Macaca mulatta: one gene and its partner. Each later gene encodes a partner of the first gene's protein in a complex. Links are inferred from orthologs where the notes say so. Each region holds a gene or a part of one and is shown on either strand. Other genes may lie near its edges.

Evidence for each region. Proteins that work in one complex are often made in the same cells at the same time.
Region 2: the proteins of ITSN1 (region 1) and AP2A2 are in contact, whole or in part, in a crystal structure (PDB 3HS8), measured with the Mus musculus proteins. The link is inferred for Macaca mulatta from reciprocal best matches to the Homo sapiens genes ITSN1 and AP2A2. Residues at the interface, in NP_034717.2 of Mus musculus: Asn841, Trp843, Ala844, Phe846, Ser847, Ser848; in XP_006536218.1 of Mus musculus: Glu308, Gly320, Val321, Glu324, Gln329, Gly331, Leu332, Lys333, Phe346, Gly348, Asn349, Lys350, Gly386, Ala387, Gln388.

The regions. Positions count from the first base shown.
Region 1 is NC_133408.1:13,503,966-13,507,465, reverse strand, and holds part of ITSN1 (intersectin-1), read left to right. Parts: intron 1-857; coding exon 858-940; intron 941-1,256; coding exon 1,257-1,340; intron 1,341-2,111; coding exon 2,112-2,285; intron 2,286-3,500. UniProt on the Homo sapiens protein: Adapter protein that provides a link between the endocytic membrane traffic and the actin assembly machinery. Acts as a guanine nucleotide exchange factor (GEF) for CDC42, and thereby stimulates actin nucleation mediated by WASL and the ARP2/3 complex.
Region 2 is NC_133419.1:888,384-891,883, forward strand, and holds part of AP2A2 (AP-2 complex subunit alpha-2), read left to right. Parts: intron 1-1,639; coding exon 1,640-1,822; intron 1,823-2,422; coding exon 2,423-2,520; intron 2,521-2,858; coding exon 2,859-3,090; intron 3,091-3,176; coding exon 3,177-3,350; intron 3,351-3,500. UniProt on the Homo sapiens protein: Component of the adaptor protein complex 2 (AP-2). Adaptor protein complexes function in protein transport via transport vesicles in different membrane traffic pathways.

The DNA of each region.
Region 1 (3,500 bases):
GATTACAGGCATGAGCCACTGCACCTGGCAGTTTTTTTTTTGTTTTTTTTTTTCAGAAATGTTTAGCATTCTTTGAGGTAAACGGAGCATCTCAAGTTTCCCCTGGCTTCCCAGGTGGCAGAAACCAATAGGAAAGCAATTTGGGGGTTAATAGGACCACCCAAACCCAAACCCCTCCTCACCTTGGCTCACTTAAATGGGCATTCTGGAACCTAGGGCTGTGGGTATTTTGCTTCAATCTGTCTTCAAGACACTGCCCTGGAGCCAAGTGAAATAGATCATTTTCTGAAGGGTGAACTTGACACAAGGCCAGCATCATTCCAAAGAGCGTTTGCACCGAGCAAGAAAATTGGCTAAAGCTTCCGTGCATATGGTTCTCAGAAAAAATGAAGGCGAAAACCGCAGCCACAAACGCCTTCCCCCAGGGCATTTTGCTCTTTCTTGTGAAGTGGTTCCCAATCTGGGAAGTGGTTTTTGTTCTTTCTTTGCGTGACTTCGTAAGCAAGATCCTTCTGGCTTTGTTGGATTAGGAAAATATGTGCTGCTCTTCGGTAAGGAAGGAAGAGGAGTTGTGTCCCCATGTTGCCTCCAAGACAGCATCTATCACAGATTTTCTTCCCCGGACACATGAACGCAGGTCTTGAGGACATCCATGGAAATGGCCCTCATGCCTTTCTTATCGATGGCAGGAATAAGTATTAGCATCATGTGACATAAAATCAGATTCTCTTTCCCGAGCCTTTGTGGTTAAAATCAAGTGAACAAAGAAAACGGAGTCCTGGCAACAGTGTTTGAACAGACCTGAAGCCTTTTTCCTGAGTTTCTGTTTGGCAACTCTCTGTCTTTTTCCGTCCAAGGACTGCCTGGGTGCAGAAAATCAAAGCTGCTTCTGAACTCTACATAGAGACTGAGAAAAAGAAGCGCGAGAAGGCGTACCTGGGTAATGCATGGCCCCGCGGGCTGTCCTGCACGCCGGCAGGAGGGAGGGCCATTTGGCTGGGCTGAAAATCCTCAGAATAGAAGAGTCCTCTGGACCTAGAGGAGGGGCATGAGATGGGATGGAAGTGAGCTTGGGGTGGGATGCAGATGGGGAGGGAGGACAAATTCCAGGAGCAAGGAAGCAAGAGGTCAAGGAGAGGAGGGGAGAATTACTTTTGAGGCGGGAGAGGTACATGAAATGCATTGTGAGGCTCACAGAGATGGGAACGGTGTGGCATGTTCAAATGAAGCATTGTGTGTTTTTCCTGCCATCACAGTCCGTTCCCAAAGGGCAACAGGCATTGGAAGGTTGATGGTGAACGTGGTTGAAGGCATTGAGTTGAAACCCTGTCGGTCACATGGTAAGGCTCTGAGGCGCCCCCGCCTCCTGCCTTAGGGTTGGAAGCTGGGTCCGGGTTCCCTGCACCCCCACCTGAATGTAAATCAAATGTGCTATTTCCATACTCCCCGATCTCCTTCCAGAGTTGGTTTAACTAGCACTGATTTAAAACCTGGAGGTTTTGTGGGGTTTTTTTTCATCCTTTCTACCATTCTGCTTTTCCGAGGGATCTGAGCGGCTGCATTCACAGTGGATAGGACACAAAATCAGACCAAAGTGAGGAGACAGGACGGGCCTAGTTTCAAAGCCCACTCAATTAATTATGTGTTCTTAGTTTAAGGATGACGCTGACTTCTGGGAGTTTGCACCTGGATTCTCCATTGAATGCCACTTATTAAGCATAATAATTATTAAGAGAGGGGAGCGGCCAGGCACAGTGGCCTGGATTACACACCTGTAATCCCAGTGCTTTGGGAGGCCAAAGCAGGCGGATCACCTGAGGTCAGGAGTTTGAGACCAGCCTGGCCAACATGGTGAAACCCCGTTTCTACTAAAAATATAAAAAATTAGCCAGGAATGGTGGCAGGCACTTGTAATACCAGCTATTCAGGAGGCTGAGGCAGGAGAATCACTTGAGCCCAGGAGGTGGAGGTTGCAGTGAGCTGAGATCGTACCACTGCCCTCCAGCCTGGGCAACAGAGCAAGACTCCATCAGAAAAAAAAAAAAAAAAAAAAGGGTGGGGATCAAAATGAGGGGTGAGTTCCACCTGACGAAGGCTTTTGTTCCCTTCAGGAAAGAGCAACCCCTACTGCGAGGTGACCATGGGTTCCCAGTGCCACATCACCAAGACGATCCAGGACACTCTGAACCCCAAGTGGAATTCCAACTGCCAGTTCTTCATCCGAGACCTGGAGCAGGAAGTCCTCTGCATCACTGTGTTCGAGAGGGACCAGTTCTCACCAGATGGTGAGTGGAACGCGGCCCCGTGGTTACGCCTCCTTCCCTGGCACTCGTTTGCGTGGGTGAATGTTTTCTTACCTGGAGACTTGGTGCCAGGATTCCTTGGGTTTCCCTCCTGAGAGATGAGGCTGGCTGGCACAAGACGAGGCTCTGTCTCCCCTGGAGGAGTCTTCTGGAGGTGTCTCACTGCAAGTGGACAGAGCATGCTTGGTCTAGAATTGTGCCAGCTGCCCTGGGCAAACACGACCATCTTCTGCTTTCCAAAGCAGGTGACTGTGGAGAGGGGTGTATTTAAGAGCCTCAGCACAGTTCTTCAGTCCTTGGCAAAAAGCCATGCTGGCAATGGATGAAGCTGGCCAATGGAACAAGGATGTTAGCCCAGCACAGGAGCCGCAGAATCAGCCAGGTCCCTTTGGGTGGCATTTTTGTGGCAGTTATTAAGTAGGCAAAGGGATGCAGTCACGTTGGATGAATCATTTCTTCCGCCAGCCTTCTGTTCCTGCTTGGGCCTGCAAAAGAATGGTCTCGGCCCAATGATTCCAAGAAACGACCTGTCTCTCCCTCAACCCAGTAAAAATCACCGGTGGCCATGGTGATGCGGGCCTGGAATCCCAACGCTTTGGGAGGCTGAGGCAGGAGGATTGCTTAAGCCCAGGAGTCCGAGACCAGCCTGGCCAACATAATGGGACCTAGTCTCTACAAAAAAATACAAAACGTAGCCAGGCATAGTGGCACGCACCTGTAGTTCCAGCTACTTGGGAGGCTGAGGCAGGAGGACTGCTTGAGACTGGGAGGTTGAGGCTGCAGTGAGCCGTGATGGTGCCACTACACTCCAGCCTGGGTGACAGGGCAAGACCCCATCTCCAAAAAAAAAAAAAAAAAAGTCACAGAGTAAGTTAAAAGATTATATGCTCAACTTAATTATAACCAAAGGAGTGAGGGTCGAATACTATCATTATCTGTACAAGGTTTAAATGGCTCCATAGGGCCTTCATCTTTTAGTACTTTTTATGTGAATTATCTCATTGTGAGTTAGGTACTCGTGGTAGCTGGTTAAATGTTTGAGTGCGACTGGAACAGTTTGCCTCCCAAGTCTGGACTCTTAACCACTATGTGCACTGTCAACTTCTAAATTCTTTTTTCTTTTTATTTTTTTACTTTTTTTTTTTTTCTTGAGACAGGGTCTCACTCTGTCACTCAGGCTGGAGCACAGTGGTGCAA
Region 2 (3,500 bases), on another chromosome or scaffold:
GCAGGTGCTTGTTGACTGCAGCCAGTGGACCCTCTCTGGCCTGGCTGGGGCAGTGTGGCCTGGTCTCAACACTTGTGGTGGGGTGGGGCTGGCTCTGGGGACGGCCGTCACAAGAGCCTCGTTCCTGGTCGTCATTCTGGGTGGTTTGAACAGAGACAGAAGCAGTGTGCTTCTGAATACAGCAGATTTTGAGGTCCTGGGCATTCTTCAGCCCGGTGTCTGCTCTCGCCCCTCTGCGTGATGAGCGGCTCTACGTGATGAGTGGTAATCCTCAGCTGGCTCCTGCTGCGAGGAGTAAGACAGGTGCTGTGTCTCAGGCCACATAGTGCTCCCCCCACCCCATCCTTTCAGCCGGGCATGGTGCTCCCCCCACCCCGTCCTTTCAGCCGGGCGTGGTGCTCCCCTCCCCCGTCCTTTCAGCCGAGCATGGCAGAGCATGTTCTCTGGCTGTGTTAGGTGCTAAGTGTCCAAACTGGACGTGGCCCACTCCCTGCCTACTCAGCACCTTCCCGTCCACAGAGGGGGACGGATTGAGAGCAGGACTGTGGGTGCTGCACTGTGGGTGGGATGGCCAGAGGAAGTGCCTATGTTCTGGGGGCCTCAGGAGGCATTACACTCCTGGGGGGCCATGTGGACTGCAGAAGGCGGTAGTGACCTGGTCTGGAGAGGATGATGGTGCAGAGGCCCCTGGGAGGGCAGAGCAGCCGTTTGTGGAGGGGTGGGAGGTGACTTAGCACAAGGTGGGGAGAAGGGCATGTGAGGCAGAGGTGGGGACCCTACCAGTGAGGCCTGAGGGCCCCTGGTGCACAGCCCCGGGCTGAGGATAGGGCTCAGAGGCAGTAGTACGTTTTGGAATGATGCCTTGGAAGTGTCACGGAGTCAGGTTGGGATTTGGGAATCCAGGCTCCAGGCAGCGACTCTCGGAGGGGGGGGCCCAGTCACCAGTGCCTGAGAGGCCAGCAGCAGGGTGTGGAGAGGGGGCAGCGGTGTGTGGAGGGGTGGCAGGGTATTGGGGGTGCCCTCGGGAGGCGCGTGGTCTTGATGCCTGCTGGCGTTGGTGTTGGCAGCTGGTGCTGTTGGAGGGGGGCTTGGTTCCAGGTGAGGTGACTTTGGGGAGATGAGTTTGGTGTTGGACAGCCTGGCAGAGCTCCATGTGAGTGGCTGCCACGTGGGTGTGGGCTGGGCAGGTGCCTCCAGGGGCCACCCGTAAGAGTGAGCCAGAGAGGGGAAGAAGCGGAACCCCCAGGTGAGGCTCGCAGGAAAGATTGGCCAGAGCTGGAGGAAACCACCAGAGAAGTGGCCGCCAGGAGCCCAGGGTGGCATGATCAGAGGAGTGCTGCCACCAGGTGTCGGGGCTTTGGGAGACAAGGGCCCAGGTGGCAGGTGGCCTGGCTGTGGCCGTGGCCTTCTGTGCGCTGGTCTCCGCCTCTTCCTGGCTTTCTTTGTTTAAGTCAGGGAATCTTAAACTTTCGGGCTCATGGCCCTTTTTGAGAATCTAGTTCAAGCTTTCTGCATGTCCCAAACTTTTGTAGACACATTTAGGTGCTTCTGAAACCCTCACTTTGACTTTGGATGACAGTTTGGTTTTGGGATTGCCACGGCCTGCAGGTGCCGGCCCTCAGCAGCCCGTCCCCTGCAGGTGCTGAAGGTCGCCATCCTGGCAGAGAAGTACGCGGTGGACTACACCTGGTACGTGGATACCATCTTGAACTTGATCCGAATTGCTGGTGATTACGTGAGTGAAGAGGTGTGGTACCGAGTCATTCAGATCGTCATCAACCGGGACGACGTGCAGGGCTACGCAGCCAAGACTGTGTTCGAGGTATGGCCCGCAGGACGGCAGGAAGGATGGGGTGGAGGGCAGTCGCGGAAGGTGAGCAGTGAGTGGTTCCAGCCTGGCTGGGTGGAGGTGCTGAGGGCTGTCGCTGACCCCTCCTGCCCCTCAGCTCTTCCCTGAGGCTCTAGTTCCTCCGCTGTTGGCGCCCCACGAGAGTCCCAGTTTCTTCTCACCCTAACTCTCAAACTTTTGGCTCTCTGGGGGCCATCTGAGAAAGCCGGCCCCTGTGTGTGTGAGAGCATGCTGGGGCCTGCCGTGGCGGGGCCTGCCCTGTCCATCGGAGAGGATTAGGCCACCGGGAAGGGGTGTGCCATGAGGACGCTGGCAGAACCTCCCCGGCTGGAGCCTGTTCTGGACCCTGCAGCTCCCTCCAGGGCAGGTCAGCGTGTGGCAGCCTCGGGTTCCTTGCTGCTGACACAGGTGCTGAGGGTGCTGAGGAAGGCAGGGATGGGCACCTGGACTGAGGTCTCCAGGAAGTTGAGGGGCTGGTGCTGGTGTAGGGTGCACCGTGCCAGGATGTGCCTGCCTCGCCTTAGCTCTGGACACTTGGCTGCCACCCCGGCTCATTGTGTTTGTGCTTCACAGGCTCTTCAGGCTCCCGCGTGCCACGAGAACCTGGTCAAAGTGGGCGGCTACATCCTGGGGGAGTTTGGAAACCTGATAGCCGGAGACCCGAGATCCAGGTGAGAGGCCCTTTGCGAGTCGGGGCCAAGAGGCGAGGTGCCAGCTGGCTTTGTTGGGAGGCCTCGCAGAGCCTTGTCTGCTCCCAATCGGCGTCTTTTTGTTTTCCTTCAGTTGATAAAAAAAGCAGGGATTCTAGGAGAAAATAGAGACATGGGGTTTATGGCTGACTTTGTGAAAGGGGTGCCTTGCAGTGGGATCTGGAGCTGGAAGAGGGTCCTGACCAGCGGCCTCTGGTGCAGGCAAGGGGGTCTTGCTGCTGTCCGTCCCCTGCGGGGACATGCTGGAGCCTGCGAGGGGACGATGGCGTTCCCATGTTGTGCTCTCCCCACCCCCCTAGCCCGCTGATCCAGTTCAACCTGCTGCACTCCAAGTTCCACCTATGCAGCGTCCCCACCCGCGCGCTGCTCCTGTCCACCTACATCAAGTTCGTGAACCTCTTTCCTGAGGTGAAGCCGACCATCCAGGACGTGCTGCGCAGCGACAGCCAGCTGAGGAATGCAGACGTGGAGCTGCAGCAACGCGCCGTGGAGTACCTGCGGCTCAGCACTGTGGCCAGCACCGACATCCTGGTAGGAGGCCCCCATCCTTCGGGCTGGCTTGACTGAGGGTGGGAGGTCAGGGACTCTGACCAAGCCCACCCTGTGTTCTTTCCAAGGCGACCGTGCTGGAGGAGATGCCCCCGTTCCCGGAGCGGGAGTCCTCCATCTTGGCAAAGCTCAAGAAGAAGAAGGGCCCCAGCACAGTGACAGACCTGGAGGACACCAAGCGGGAGAGGAGTGTGGATGTGAATGGGGGCCCCGAGCCTGCCCCGGCCAGCACCAGTGCCATGGTGGGTTCCTCACCTGCTGTGTACCCAGACCTGTGAGGGCCTCACCCCCAAGACTTGGGACCAGCAGAGCATTTGCCTGTCAGGGAGGAGCATGTACTGAGAACCCAGGTGCCGACTGTGGCTCTGGACATCCTGCTGGCCTGTCCCGGG